Linked DNA regions of Lonchura striata. The protein of the gene in region 1 purifies or fractionates together with the protein of each later gene. This does not show direct contact. Links are inferred from orthologs where the notes say so. Each region holds a gene or a part of one and is shown in the gene's direction. Other genes may lie near its edges. The genes, in order: POLR3F and POLR3H.

Region 1 (7,450 bases):
TCATTACTAGCTGAGAGAGATCACCAATCTTCACCTCCTTTTTTTAGACCTCTGTCCTGATGACAGCCTTGCACAACTTTCGCCTAGCCCTCTGCTCACCTGCAATGACTCCACTGGTTGTGCTGAAGTGGATTTCTCTCTGTGCTTTGCAGCTCCCAAACCACTGGCAAGGAGCTGAGGTCCTTGAGGGGACCTGTGAGAAGGCCTGTCTGTTTCCAAGATTAAAATTACAATCCTGTTATTCCACTGTCACCCACTTCATGCAGTTAATAGATATCTAAACAGGAATGTTACATACTCTCACTAAGCATAATCAAAAACATATTTGGCATGCACATTTTGGGTTCAAATAAGCTGCATAGAATCACAGGAAATTAAACTAGGAGAACCCCCACACTTCTCTGACAGAGCTTACTTTTGTATTTTAATTTATTTACAGTTTTCTTCCTTCCTGCATGAAGGAAGAAAAATCCCAGCTCCTAAGAGTAAACTAATGAGTAAACATTAATACAGTTACCTGCTCTAAAACAGTCCCATTGCTGTTGCCAAGGAATAAGAGACTTTATCTACAGAGAAAATCTGGGTGAAGCTTTCATTTCTGCTCAGTGTATTTATTTTGGAATCTTGCTGCAAGCAAACATCAGTAAAGAAACTCTGTAAAGGATTTGCAATCCCATCAATTTAACAGCATCTTCTGGCACAAAGGGAAATACAGACAGGGCTTTGGTGTGTTGCTGAGAAATGATTGATGTTTTAATATGTTTTTAAGAAGTCATGTGAAATGTATGCAAAGTAAATTCTGTTCTCTATTTGCAGTGTTGAGCAATCAAAACTGGAATTTCCACAGGATGCTCTGTCTTCTGAGAGGATTTTAAAATTACCCACATTTTACAAGCAAAACAAGAGGGAAACTCTTTGCAACTTTCTGCTAGAATAGAAGACTATCTCAGTTTTATGAAGTGATACTTACCTTGAAGGTCTTGGGATGTTTCATCCCAGGCAGGCTTGATTTCCACATTCAGTCTATTCTTCTTAGGTTTTGTAGTAAATGTTCCACCTTCCTTATTCTAAAATGTAATTCCATTTGAATTACAAATACATTTTTTTGCTTTTGCTCTCATCCTCTCCTGCTATAGTTATTTGTTAAAATTTTAAAAGTACATGTTTAAGGTATTTATTTTCAATGCAAGCATGCGAAAAGCTTAATTTTAATATTACAGAAAGGACCAAAGCAGCAAAGATGGGCAAACAGAGAAAATTATATATGTGAATAAAACTGGCAGTCAAAGCTTAATCTCTAAGTAATATCATATATACAACATTTTACAATCACACAAGGGGTTACAATTTCCAAAACTTACCTGTGTGGCTATATCTTTTAGGAAATTCTTGTCATCATCTTCAACCGGGAAAAGGATGTTTGGTTGCTGGTACTCTACCACAAACACCTTTGTCACAATTGAACTCTCCCTGTAGTCCCTGAAAATCAATATTCCCACAGCTAAGAATCCAACACAGACCTGTATGCTGCAACATGAAAATCACTGATGGATGTGGCTTATTAGGTGGAACATCCCTTCCAAGCTTTTATTTATATCATTATAGTGAATCTATGAAAATGTCTTAATATAAACAGACTGCAAATAAGTGTTAGTCTAGGCAGTGATGGCAAGAAAATAAATATAAGCCTAGGTTTTGAGTGTTATATAATGTTGTTGTATTGCAGTGCAGCCACAAGCACAGGCTGACTGCAGGTGCTGCTAACAGGGAACAGCAGACACAAATCTCCAAGTGGAGTGGAAGTTCCTGCTCCCTTGGAAATAAAAGATAATGCAATACAGTACAGACAGAGAAATGATGTGTCCTTTCTCTGTCTCTAAGCATGAAGTTATTTCTGACAAAGTCAGTGGCAGTGCAGCAAAATCCAGTTTTCTTTTCGTGTATTGTATTTTTGCTTCAACCAACGTTGTATACTTAAGCTGTGAGGTTCGGCATTCTGTGATCCTTTGGGAGAAGCTAAACAAATTCCTGGGAAAACCAGCTTCTATAAATCCACTGAACCACTGGATGACCCCAGAAACACCAGCCTGGTTTCTCTGGTGTTTCTGATGGTCACACTCCAAAGGATGAGCTCTCAGTACATCACCTCCTCACCCACAGCCTCCAGGATCACTGGACACTCTGAGTCCAGGAGAAAACACCCAAGAGGTTATCCAATCACACAAACACTTGATGGATAAAAATTATCCTGAGAAAGCCAACTCAGTGCTATTCACGAGTTTGCAAACTGCCTGGGGAAAGGCTAATCTCTCACTTGCAGGGTATGGAACGCTTTAGACAACACAAGCTGTGACAGGGATGTCTGTCCCTTGCCAAAAATAAACCAAAACAGGATACTCACTTTGTAACTGCCAGGGCTTTAACTATTATTTTCCCCACTGGTAATATGATAGGACCCTTATACTCCAAAGTGTTATGTGGTCCATAGCCAGGTTTCCTAATGAGTTCTGGTTTGCTTCCATCTAAAGTGTAATAAATAGAGGCCTCAGGTGTATCTGAAAGAAACAGAAAAAGTAATTCCTCAGACTGTAGGCAACCTTGGAAAAACAAATTACTCACTACAGTGCTTGATTTTGCTCACATAAAGAAAATAAAGTAGTTCCATAAGAGACCAAATATTTGGGATCAAAACTGTTTCTTCCATGAAATATCAGTTATTCAACAAAAGCAATTTCATTATAAGCAATATTTCTGACAGAAAAGTATCTGTAAAACGATTTTGCACACAAACATTGCAGCAGCTTGTCCATTCCAACAACAGAAAGGGTATTTTCTGCCACAGCAAAAGGTGATAATTCAAAAACTGTAACGACAATGTTGGGAGTGAGCCTGGCACATGATTCTTTCAAGAACTGTTTTTGCCGTCAAAGCCAAATGCAACAGCTTAAAAGTTTGGCCTTGGAAGCAATTAAGACTGCTACACATATGTCAGTAATGTTGTTGCGATAAATAAAATTACATGCAAGTGTATCTGGTGCATCAAACCTGTTAGTTAACTTTTTAAGTTCCTTAATGAAATGCATGCTACAAAAATCATGACTAAATATGAAAAAAGTATAAATGCCAAATATTTCAAATGGACACATAAGTACAGGTTTGAGGTGGAGTTAAAGCTCTTGTGCATACCTGATTTTATTTCTATGAGAGTATTTGTGTCTATTTCCCGTTGAGCTTTCCCTGGAGGTGGGATTCGAAGTGGGATGATCTGAGGAGCTGAGACAGAGCCAGCTGTCATTTTTCTCAGCAGTGATCTTTAAAATAGAAAAGTAAAAAGGCAGACAATCATTTAACTAAAAAGAAGAATGCACTGAGAAACAGTCATTTAGCATGACTCCTGGTCTTCATTTGTTTCTCTTAAAAGAGAGAAAACTGGATTCTTTAAACCATCCTGTGACTGTGATTCTGTGTGTTTGAGCTAGAACAGCTCCAGCACCTCATGTCAGTGATACATGGAAGGAGTAAGGGACAGGAATCTCCACCCTCACCATGTCATATGTGAAACCAGCCTCGTCCCACTATGGCCACCTGAGTACAGCATGCCCTGGAAAGGACTAAAGAAAAACAGCTGTTTCTTAAGCTTATGCCAGATATCATGTGGATCCAGAATATATCCATGAAAACCTGATTTATCCTGATATACATAGTCATTATCATGGCATGTAATTCAAGAGTGAAAAATTGCATTTGGATACAATGACATTTTACAAAACAAAGATATGTACTCCAGATCTTGGGAATTGATACTCAGGGCCAGGAAACACGTCTGTGCTACAAGGATTTGGTTTTGTCACCACCTCCAGGGCTCCAGAAACAGCTCTGATGCTACTCATCAATGCAGGAGTGAGGGACACTCCCCACCCTCTTTGGGCAATCTGTTCCACCTTTACAGGGCGAGGGTGAACCTTTCCCGTGCAAGTGCGGCACTTCCCGTGTCCCAGATTCTCCCTGTCGCCTCCTGTCTCATTTTCGGGCACCCCGGAGCAGAGCCTGGTCCATCCCCTGACACACACCACCAAGCACGGGCGATCAGCTCTCCCCGACCCGAGCGGGCGTTCAGCCTTCCCCTCACGCCCTTGGCACACCCAGGCTCCGCTCCAGCCTTTTGGGATCGCATCCCTGGCGGGACGCACCGCCACCCCGCCCGCTCCCCGCCGCTCCAGGGCGCGGCCTCACAGCTCTGCCCGCTCCACCGCCGGCGTGCGGCCCTGCTCGCCCGCCGCTCCGTTTCCAGGGACGCCGCCGCCGCCGTGGCGCGGCGCTGACGTCATCTCGGCGCGCCGGAGCCCGCGGTGCCATGGCGGAGGTGAAGGTGAAGCCGGAGGTGCCCGATCCCATGGACATCGAGAGCAGGTGCTGGTGGCTGTGTGAAGGCCGCAGAGGACGGGTTTTGGGGCTGGGGGAAGCAGGCGTGGCGGGGCGTTGTCGTTCAGGACCTTTGTGGGGTGGTTCGACGCTCGAGTGTTAACCAGGAAATGGATGCTGGAGGAGAGGGTTGTTAGGGGCACGGGGAGCTTCGTGCTGGGAGGTGCTTAGGGGGCAGTGAGGGTTGGGTCAGGTCACTTTCGGCTGTCCCGGAGTTTTTCTGGTCTTGGAAAGGGAAACGGTGCACAGGGATTGGTGCCGAGCTCCCTCAAGAAGTAATTGATGGATACTTTTCCCCGGAGTTGCTCTTGTCACCCTCTTCCATCCTGACTCCAGTACGGTTTGGATGCAGCAGAACATGGCTTTTAAAGTCGCTTCTCTCCTCCTGCAGGATCATTGAACTCTGCCACCAGTTCCCCCATGGCATCACGGACCAGGTGATCCAGAATGACATGCCTCACATGGAAGCCCAGCAGAGAGCTGTGGCCATCAACAGGCTGCTCTCCATGGTAGGGACAGCCCGCCTTCCTCATCTTCCTCAGCACACACATAACCACAGGCCCATTAGGGATGGGGAGGGTCAGGAACTGTTTGTTATTTCTGATAGCTGATGATAAGTGGAAATTTGTCAGGGGAAAAAAATATCCTCAAGGCTGTTACTGTTTCCAGTGGTTAGAAACATTAGTTTTTATTTTTCTTTATTTAGTTGACATTAAACAATGGTTTTGCTCTAGAATTTCAGAATATTTTTCTAAAATACCCTCTGAAACAAGCTGTTTGAAGGAAAGTAAATGCATTGTGCCCATCTCTCCTAGGGGCAGCTGGACCTTCTGAGGAGCAGTGCAGGTCTCCTGTACAGAATCAAAGATTCCCAAAATGCAAGGTAAGTCTGTGTCTGCTGGGTAAGTATGTTTGGAACACAATTCCTGTTTAAAACAAATGAAACTTCAATTATTGTTTTAAACAAATCAAACTTCTTTCAAATTTTGGACCTTTCAAAAATCCTGGTGTCTGTCTTGTTTTACAGTAAGATGAAAGGTTCTGACAATCAAGAGAAGCTGGTTTACCAAATCATAGAGGACGCAGGCAACAAAGGTACTTTAAATTATGATTGTGAATGGTACTAACTTTGTTTGCTTATGGGACCATTTCTGTCCAAAGTCACAAATGCTTGCTCAGACAATACAAATATAAAATCTAATGCCCCATACCTGCTTGTTTCCTAATCTCTTCCATTTCTTCCCTTTTGCTGGGAGTGGCAGACAAGCAACCCAAGCAGTGTTCTGATGTGACTTTTGGTTGGTATATGTGGAAACAAATGGTTTCTTCTATTTATTTTTGTTCACTTCTCTGTTTTTTAACAGGTATTTGGAGCAGGGACATTAGGTACAAAAGCAATCTGCCTTTAACAGAGATCAACAAGATACTGAAAAACTTGGAAAGCAAGAAACTAATTAAAGCAGTTAAATCTGTGGCAGTGAGTATTTTGTGACTCTCTTTGTAACAATTTCAAACATCTGCTTCATGTTTTGTATGCTTGTAACAGGGGCCTGGGGACAGAGAAACCTCATTTTACCTCCAGCTTTCTCTTTGGCTGTGCACCAGTGTTTGACTCTGTACCTTTAGTGTGCAGGTTTGAGGTGCAGCAGATACTGGCTCCACAGGTCAGCTTCTCTGCTGTCTTCACTTACGTGGTTCTCACTGGGTCTGGTAAAGCAGGTGTGGGTGGAGAAGTTGGACATAGCAAAGCAGTGGCTTTTTTGTGTTCATGTGAAAATGCTGGGTTCATCTAGTCTTCCAACACTATGTTTTAAAATGATTAGGAATCAAAATGAGTTGATCTTCTCTTTATCTCTGTGTTACCTGAGGGACAAACAGGTTCAGGATACCTGGAGTCAGGTGGCTTGCTGTGCCTTAGGTATAAGAGTAATAAACCTCTTTTGCAGATTATCTGGATACAAGTCCTTCCTTATGAAGGAAGGAATTGTTGAGAGCTGCACATCTCCCTCCCACAGGCATCCAAGAAGAAGGTCTATATGCTGTATAACCTGCAGCCCGATCGCTCCGTCACTGGGGGGGCCTGGTACAGTGACCAGGACTTCGAGTCTGAGTTTGTGGAGGTGTTAAACCAACAGTGTTTTAAGTTTCTGCAGAGTAAGGTACGTGCCAAAGTCACCCGCCATTTGTTTTGTAAACAGGTGCCAAGCAAGGCTTAGGTTTTCCATAAGGGTTGGCCATTATTGCAGCTAGATTGGCAAATCTCTGCTGGACTATTATTTTTGTCACAGTAGGTGGAATAGTGTTGTATTTAATGATGGGTACTTTTCCACCCTGGGCAAGGAGGGAAGCCTTTTATCCCTGAGGTCCAATGACAGCCTATCCTAGATAACCCAAAATTGTGTACTCCTTATCTTCTGTGTGCCAGCCTGCCCAAGAGTATTACTGTCCCTAAGACAAACAACCCAGGAAAGAGGAACTTGTGTGTTTTATCCTGGAAGGGAGGTGCAGGATCCCTTTAGAAACGGGAAATCATGGGGGGAGTGCGTTTGTTCTTCCTGGGTGCCCGAGGGGATTGCCTGGGGCGGAGCTCCAAGTCGATACCCGAGAAGCTGCTCCAGAGGGAATTTTGCAATACCTTTTCCAGCCGAGGAGGAGTCAGGTCGTCTCTCCACGATTTTCCAGCACCTGTCGTTTGTTTGTCCAGGAGGGGGCAGATCTGCAACTTGCCGGAAGTTTTTTCCAGCTTTTTTGGCAGCATAGGAGCCTTTTGGCCAAAAATTGTTTTAAATAAAATTATCCAAGTTTGGTTTTGTCCCTCTCCCCCCCCCAATTGTTGTTCATGGAAGTTCAGGAACTGCAGAGGCCGTTAGCTTTTATTTAGTATTTTTTCCCCTTTCTATCTTCTCTCATTTTGTCTCTTATTGGTGGAAGAAGATTGGTTAAAACTAAAGGGGAGATAACTCATTTTGGAGTCTCCACCCCGTATAATTGTCTTAAACTAGGACACAAACCAGGCAGCAAACACCAG
Region 2 (8,227 bases), on another chromosome or scaffold:
TGTGACATGGGGTGGCTGCAGGTTGCTTTTGTTTCCTTAAACTCTTTCCTTGATACATTCTAAGTAGCTGAATATGGTGATGCCAAATAGACCTGTTCCAGAAACAACCCTCAGGGCTGCAGGGTGGTGCACAAGTTGTGTGGGAACCATGAGGCATGGCAGAGAGTCAGGAGAGAGGGTTACAACTGCTCCACCTGGTTATATCCATGCATCCGTCCATCCCTCCATCCCTCCATCCATCCCTCCATCCATCCATCCATCCACCCATCCATCCATCCATCCATGCCAGTCCTGAGTGTTGATATGGGGCTGTCCCAAGGGCTTTGACAGAGTGATGAGATCACAAAGCACTTGTCTCTCTCCTGTCAATAAATTATAATGCAGAAAAAAACTCCATGGGCAGAAGAGAACAACCCATGGCAAGGACACCAAAAAGCACTGAAACTCCAAGTGCCAGTGGGTTCTGCCATTGTCCATCACACTCTGTTGTGGCTTTTCAAGTAGTTTTCCAGGACAGAACAGGAGCCACATTCATGCCCTACAGATACCACAAGTCTTATCTCTCCATTCTTCTCTTCAGAACTTTTGCAAAACAAGGGGAGGAGGCCCCAGCCAGCTCTCAGTCTCCCTTCTGAGTTTCTCCTGAGATGGCTTCTCCTTTCTGGAGGTACAACTTTGGCTCTCCCACATAAAGGCTGCTGATGGAAAATGCACAGGAGCTTGAAGTACATTTGGCTGGAAGGTGACACTGGGCATGTGCTGCAGCAGAGGAGGCAGGGAGTCTAAAGCAGGCATGATTTAAAAATGATAAAAGGAGAAGAGGGGAAGCTTTGATCAAACAGAGAGTGGGAGTGGGGGTGCCAGAGATGCCTGCAGAGATGGAAGCAAAGGCAGGAGTGAGGAGAACTTTTTATGTGAGAAGATACATAATTCCTTTGGAGTCAATCAAAGGAGGCCTAGAACTGTTGAGATGCAAATTACCACTCACCTCCCCTACCATCCCTGAGACAGTTTTCTCCAAGAGCCATGGGCATATGGGGACAGAGGAGATCTTAAACCAAGTAATTTGGGGGCTTCTTTCATTCTCCTCAAAGGTTCCAACCCTCCAGGTAACTTCAAATATTATTTCCCAGGTTTTCTGTACAATGAAGAGAATGAGAAATGTCTGGTATTTTCTCTGAGGGACAGAAAAACTCTTCAACTCCTGGATTCCAGCAGCTAAAGCTTAAAAAAAAAAAAACAAACAAAAAAAACCCCCACAGCCCAGCAACTGAGAACCATGCTCTGAAATACTGGAAAAGCCCCAATACTGCTGAAAGAGAGTCGAGAGACTTTATGGCTGTGCATAAACAGGTATGTACAGGCTCTGTGGATTCCTGGGTATTCACCACGTCAGTAGTACTGGGAGGAGACAAGTCAGCAAAACAAAGCTGTTCACATCATCTCCAGCAGCAAGACACTTCAGCAGCAGCCATAAATATAGTATAACTCTGAGCACTACCATTAGCTGAGGCAACACCCATATTTTACAGAGCATAATTTGGCTTTTGTTTATATTTCTACATTGAAGACAGCACTTGTGAAATATGGAAATCCTCCAAGGAGAAAACCTAGGTGGGAACAGAGCAACATCTGTCATGCATAGGCAGCCCAGGCATGCACTACTTGGGATTGGGGAGGGGCTACCTGAAGAAAGTGAGACTGGAAATCATTTCCCACAGCCTGGGATGTTCCTGGTGGAGGCTGAAACACTGAAATCCAGACTTGGTTTTGGGGTGATTGTAGCCTGGTAGCGGAGGCAGTGAAGCTTATCTGACACTGCCATCACCAGCCTTCTCTGCACACAATTCAGTTTCCCCAGCATGAAATCAAAGTACCTGCAAGTTTCAGCAAAACACACAGCTGCACAGAGAAGAAGAATGTTATTGTCCTTACTGAGTAGTGGCCCACAGCATTCAGCCCTTGTTGGCAATCACAGAACTGATATAGGAGAGAGATCCTGCACATCTTGCTTGGTGTCAGCACTTCATAGCATACGAAAGACCTCACCAACGGGACCCAAGACAGTATGAAGCAAAGCCTTGCAGACCTGCTGCTCACACAGTTGTTTTTTGGGGGCTGTGGATAAGGCTGAAGGGAGATGTGACTGATTGTATTGGGCACCCAAGAGCCCCCAGTGGGGCATGGTTATTGGAAGCATGGAAAATATTAGCTCAAGAATGCGCTAGAAATGGAAGCATGATATGACTCTGTCTAAATCCACTTCTCTCCATCTCCCATGCTCCCCCAGGTATTTCAGTCTACTATTCCCTGAGCTCATGCCCCTACTTAACCCTACAGTTCTTATATACAAGCATCCAGAGTGATCACCTTGCCAAAACCAGCAGTGCCTAAATTCTCTTTGTCTGATACCAAAGCTATTTCTTCCCCTGCTGTCAGGACAGGGTTGAGAACAATTTCCTCTTCTGAGTGAAGTAGCTATAGACACCTGCAAAAGCTGCACTAGGTAAAGGTCAAACCTTGCATTGCCAGACCTACATGAGGCCAGGACAGAACAGCAAGGGATGCAGCATATGTGCCAACAAAACTGTGCTGTGCCGAGATTAGTGCAGCTGTGACTGCAGTGTGGGAGAAAGGAGCCTTTGTAAGGCTCCCTGAAGTAGGACAAGAAAAGCAAGAAACACTAGGGATTTGGGTTGAGGTGTTCTGATAGAGTGGTGTCTGCTGTGCTGGCAGCAAAGCTCCTTGCTGAGACAGTAGATGTTGCTCCAAGAAAAAATGCTGCTTTTCCCAGGAGACAGGGGAAATCTTATTTCTGGGCCCACTATTTAATACTAACATGCCAAACATGGGCAGACCAGCCATGTTTATTTAAAAAAAACCAACATCCCCACAACCTAATAGACCCTAATGAAACACAGTAATTAAGAAGAAATCAACACCTCCTTATCCAAGACAGGTACCTTCTTAATGAGGCCTAACTAGGGTATTTCCAACCTTGTTTCACCCTCCCTTTCCCAGACAACTCGATGTTTAATGATTTCTTACCTAAAGTGCTCTCCTTACTGTCCCACCACATGCTGCTGGGGAGCGTGGGGGATGACACACTTAGCCTTAGCATCAAAGCCATGATGCTGACAGTGCAGTTTTCACTGTCAGCCAGGGATGTTTGGTTTTCCTGGTGGATCTTTTTTTAAGCACACTTCAAACAACCTCCTTTCACTTTCCCTGACAAACCTTAGACGTTAGTGCACCCCCCTTGTTTTCTGCCATCCCTCATGCTGCTTCTCCCTCACTGCAGAACACACCGAGGCCTCAAAAATTATACCATGGGGGTTGGTTTCTCTTTGGCAATTAACACTCACAAATTATGCCAGCTCTGTATGGTGGCAGTTTGTCCCTGAAAAAATCCTTGACCTAAGCATTGGGCAGACAGAGCTGTGAGGGACTTCCAGGTGCAAAGATTATAAACCCACCCAGGTTTGCTGGAGATGTGGGCAAACAGCTGAAGAAATGGCAGAGACTTTCATCTTTGGGCTCCTGAGTGCAAGACAGACATGGAGCTCCTGCAGCAGGTCCAGCAGAGGGTAACAAGGGTAAGGGGGGACTGGAGATCTTCTCTTCCAAGGAAAGGCTGAGGGAGCTGGGCCTGTTCAGGCTTGGGAAGACTGAGAGGGGACCTCATCAATGTGTATGTCCATGAAGGGCGCCAAGAGTTTGGAGCCAGACTCTTCCTGGTGGTGCCAAGCAATAGTGAAGTAAATAAACGGGCCAGGAGACCTTGTGCTCCTTTCTTGAGAAGGCCTTTATTAAAAGGATAGCCTATGGGGGTGGGGGCTCGGGGTTCGCGACGGATCGGAGTCTTTGCCCTTGAAGGATATGTCAAAAGATTCACTTTGCAACTCGTTGATCTAGGGGCTTTACCTCGCTCTGGCTCCTTTGCTTACAGCAATTGCTTCAGAAATTCTGCGGGTCCTCTCCAGCTCCTGGAAACTTTCCCTGCACGTAGGTGTGGATCATTTTGCTGTCTCTGCTCTTGGCTTGTTGTCTGGCTATATTCCGATTTATGTTGAAGTCCAAAAATTGATATACAGTAGACACTAGGCTCTCTGGGAAACGGGAAATCTTCCCTGGGAGCAACTTCCTGGGAGCAGCTTCTGAACTAACCGACGCAGTGTAAGGGACAGAAGGGGCTTCAAACTACTAGAAACAGCAAAACAAACTGGTAGGATTTCTTCTATAAGGGATTTTAACAAAGGTGTCAACGGCAGGAAGGGATACAGAGGCTCCGGGAGTTAACTGGGGATGCAAACTGGGTATAGGGCAAATACATAGGGGTGGAACTAACAACTACATGAACAAGGGAACTTCCAAACTGTGAGGAGGTAAGCAGACAAAAGCTTAGACATCAAATCCATTCATAACAATAGCACAGCAAGCAATGGGGCAGAAAGTGGTGCCCAGGGAGTTCCACCTGGCCGTGAAGAACAATTTCACCGTGCAGGTGCCCGGCCGCTGAACAGATCGCCCAGAGAGGCTGTGGAGTCTCCCTCACTGGAGAGGGAGCCCAAGAACCCTCTGGATGCCATTCCTGTGCCATGTGCTTTGGGATGAACACCATATCAAAATGTCTGGAAAACACTTTCTAGCACAATCTGAAGCATTAGAAAGCAGGCATTCTTTATCTGCACAGGGCACATAGAAGACTGTCTGAAAATTTCTATTCTCTGTGTTATTTATCAACCCTGCTTGAGCAGGGAGGTTGGACCAGATGCCCCACCGTGGCCCCTTCCTATCTGACCTGTTCCGTGCTTTTGTGATCTTTGCTGCCTTATCTGGATTGAAGGTTACGAAAATGATAAATTAAACCAGAATAGCCGCAGTCGAGAACTGTTCTAGCTGTGGCACAGGAGAGCGCGCCCAGGTACCCACCTGCTGGAGGTGGAGGGGAAGGAGCGAACTACACAGCATCCCTGCAAAGGACGCCAGGGTGCCGAGCCCCTTTCCGCGTTTATATTGGCCAAAACCAGCCCAAACCCGGAGATCCTCGGATCCTTCCCCGCTCCGGGGGCAGCCGGGCCCGCCCCGCCCGAGGAGGGACAAAATGGCGGCTGCGGCTGTCAATCAGGGCGCGCGACCCGCCAGCCGAGCGCGATTGGCTGCGGCGGCGCCGGAAGTGGCGGGGGCGCGCGGCGCGGCTCCGCGTGCGGCGGGGCTGAGGGCCGCTCCCGGCCCCGCTCCCGGGCCCGCGCCCGATCCCTTCGGGATAGCCGGGACCCCGCCCCACCGGAGTGGCCCCGCACCTTGGAGCGCCTTCCCCTTCCCAGCCTGGCCCTCGCAGCGCTCCAATTCCCGAGGTTGGCGTCTCCTCGCCCCCCGCCACCATGTTTGTCCTGGTGGAGATGACTGACACTGTAAGAATTCCTCCCTGGCAGTTTGAAAGGAAACTGAACGAATCTATTGCTGAAGAGCTAAACAAGAAATTGGCCAATAAGGTAAAACAGGGGTCACGTATAGGTTGATGTAGGCATCGCAACGTCCCCGAGCGTTCCTTCCTTGTGTTTGTGCCTACTGAGGTGCGCGGGTGAGATGTCAGAGTTGTTTGGATGTGAAGGCCATCCCCCGCGACTGTAAATAAAGAGACAGCCACGTATCATCTCAAAGGGGACATTTTTCTAATGGCTGATGTTGTAATGGGAAGATACTGAGGCACCAGATGGGGCAGAGGAGCACGGAAGAGAAGTGAGAGCAGCTGCTGGTTTGTGTTAAAAGAAGCAATCCAAAACGCAGCCTGAAAAACAAGTGCAAACTAATCCATCCAGTGGGGAATTTAAAGAAAAAAAACAACTATATAAACACATGTCGAACACTAATACTGGAAGAGAAATGATGCTGTTAGTAGCTGATTTAGCCTGTGCTTATTAATTGAAATACATGATGGCAATAAGAAATTAGTCTTTAATGCAGCATATAAAAAGTGTTTTCTTGTGGCCCTGGAGGTCAGAGTTTCCCTGTGCAGTCCCAGGACTGTGATAAGTGTACGGCTTTCAACATGGAGCAGGTGCAAAACTAAAAAATGCAGCTGTAAATGTGAAAGGAGCTCAAAAGAGCAAGCTGAAGGGATCTAGGTTATGAAAAGCAAAAGTCTTCCTTCATCCACTGATGACTGGTGGATGCCTCAAATTTCATAGACAGTGAAGCTGTCTCAGAAGTAGCAGAGAAACCAAGAGTTTGCCCTGTGTCTCCCCAGAGCTGATATAATGAAGATAAAAGGCAAGCCTGGAGGCTTCTGAGAGTGCAACTCTAGCAAAAAGCGTGTTTAGCATTTGGACAAACTGAGGCTGGTGAATGATGGGGAGTTCTTTACTGTCTTAGCAGCTCAGGTTCTCTCACCGCTGACAATTTCCCCAAAGGTTTCTCTTTGTAGCAGCGTTTTTTCCAGTGCCAGTGAAAATGTGTTCCCACAACACTTGGATTGGGGTTTCCCTATGCTGCTGGTGGTGTTGAAGGCAGTGTTCCAAAATAACCTCCGTCCCTCTATTGCTGCCCTTTGAAAAGGTGTGCAAAATGTATGAATTCCATAGTTTGCTTGATTTTACCTGGTGGTTTGCTTGATTTACTGCTCTTGATTTTTTTTTTTTTCTTTTATCAGGTTGTATACAATGTTGGGCTCTGCATCTGTCTGTATGATATCACAAAACTGGAAGATTCATACATATTTCCTGGGGATGGTGCATCACATACGAAGGGTAAGTGCTTTTCCTCAGTTACATTGTGTTGCAGAAGCTTAATTAATGATCTGGAAATGTAAGATGAGTTCAGTTGTTAGAGACAGTGACAACGTTAAGTTGACAGCCTTAGCTCTGTTCCTGTTAGGAGGGCAAGAGGAACATGGTGAAAGTCTCTTATTTTCTTTGCTGCTTTGGGTACAAATACAGCTTTAAATAGCCAGTCCTTCTTGCCTTCTCCAGCAGCCCATCTCTGTTCTACAGTTAGAGCCATAGGTGTGGGGTAAGAAGAGGGTTAATTTAATTGAAGGTAGAAAGTCTGCACATAGAAAATAAGTTGTAATAATTGGTTTGCATTTCTCTGATATTTTTTCTTTATGAAGCATATTCCCTAGCTAGGATAAGAAACCTGTTTCTACATGTAGCATTTGCACAGCATTTAATGCTTTTGTACTAGCTGGGAGTTTTACAACACTTTTGTAGAAACTAGATTGGTTCATCATACATTTCTAGTGACTTCTTTTAATAAGAAATTACTCATTTCTTTACTTTGATTCTTGGCAAATCTGAGTGAAAACTGGAAGTAAGTGCATAAAAGCAAATTTCATTTTTTAAAGTTAAAATAAAGGTTTAAACTGGTAAGAGATGCATTTTTCTGGTTTCAGTTTACAGTGTGAAATCATAGGTTGAACACATGAAATATCTCCTGTTAGAAGGGAACTGCACTGACTCTATGTGCTTCCCCTTGTCTAAGGGGAGTAGAACTCATTTCCTAAAAATAAAAGCTTTTCTAATACTGAAGGAGGATAGGCTTTCCTGCTTGCTTTAATCTCCATTCAGCTTCTCAACTTAGAATTACTCCTTGAACTGAAAGAAGAGAACTTTTCTATCCGAGTTTGGGAAAAAAGTCTGCTTTCAGAATCTGGTGTAACACTTTGATAAATCCCGCTGTGTCTGGTAATAACTCTTTCTTTAATGCACTGCCTAGTTTTATGTAAAAGAGGAGCACTGAGGAGGTACAACTAAAATTATGTTTAATTTCTCAGAAGCATTGTTTGACTGCGATTGTCTTAGTGTAGCATTCTTGTAGTAAGTGCCATGTACTTAGTTAGAAACATTTTATCTAGCTTGGAGGAAAAATCCAGTTATGTTAGAGAACCTTGTTTAATCTGATAATACTTGATTTAGAAGATTTAATTTAATGGAAATACAGCATTGCAGACAAATATAAAAGGCAGAAGTATTACAAGAAAGTATAATTTCAACTGATACTCTTGACTGTGAGACATTGTGCTTCCATCATAATTTAATCAGAAGCCAGCCATGCTCCATGTTTATCATCTTACACTTTCTCTCTGTGAACTTCTTGCAAAACTGAGGAGCTGGGAACAGGACACTGCTGATCCAGCTGCTGCCAGAATATGTACAAACCAGTTAGGAACCAGATCTCTTATTCCCATTTTTCTATCTAATCAGTGCCTCTGAAGAAGTTGTAAAAG

Evidence for each region.
Region 2: the proteins of POLR3F (region 1) and POLR3H purify together in Homo sapiens (affinity purification with mass spectrometry; 4 studies listed by BioGRID and IntAct, with this or other methods). This does not show direct contact. The link is inferred for Lonchura striata from reciprocal best matches to the Homo sapiens genes POLR3F and POLR3H.

The regions. Positions count from the first base shown.
Region 1 is NC_134605.1:22,421,992-22,429,441, reverse strand, and holds the start of POLR3F (DNA-directed RNA polymerase III subunit RPC6), read left to right. Parts: upstream 1-4,332; 5' UTR 4,333-4,354; coding exon 4,355-4,410; intron 4,411-4,813; coding exon 4,814-4,931; intron 4,932-5,237; coding exon 5,238-5,305; intron 5,306-5,449; coding exon 5,450-5,517; intron 5,518-5,786; coding exon 5,787-5,899; intron 5,900-6,437; coding exon 6,438-6,581; intron 6,582-7,450. Other genes in the region: DZANK1 (double zinc ribbon and ankyrin repeat-containing protein 1), read right to left, coding at 100-209, 971-1,067, 1,362-1,479, 2,402-2,555, 3,187-3,295. UniProt on the Homo sapiens protein: DNA-dependent RNA polymerase catalyzes the transcription of DNA into RNA using the four ribonucleoside triphosphates as substrates.
Region 2 is NC_134607.1:58,367,189-58,375,415, forward strand, and holds the start of POLR3H (DNA-directed RNA polymerase III subunit RPC8), read left to right. Parts: upstream 1-5,192; 5' UTR 5,193-5,384; coding exon 5,385-5,495; intron 5,496-6,652; coding exon 6,653-6,749; intron 6,750-8,227.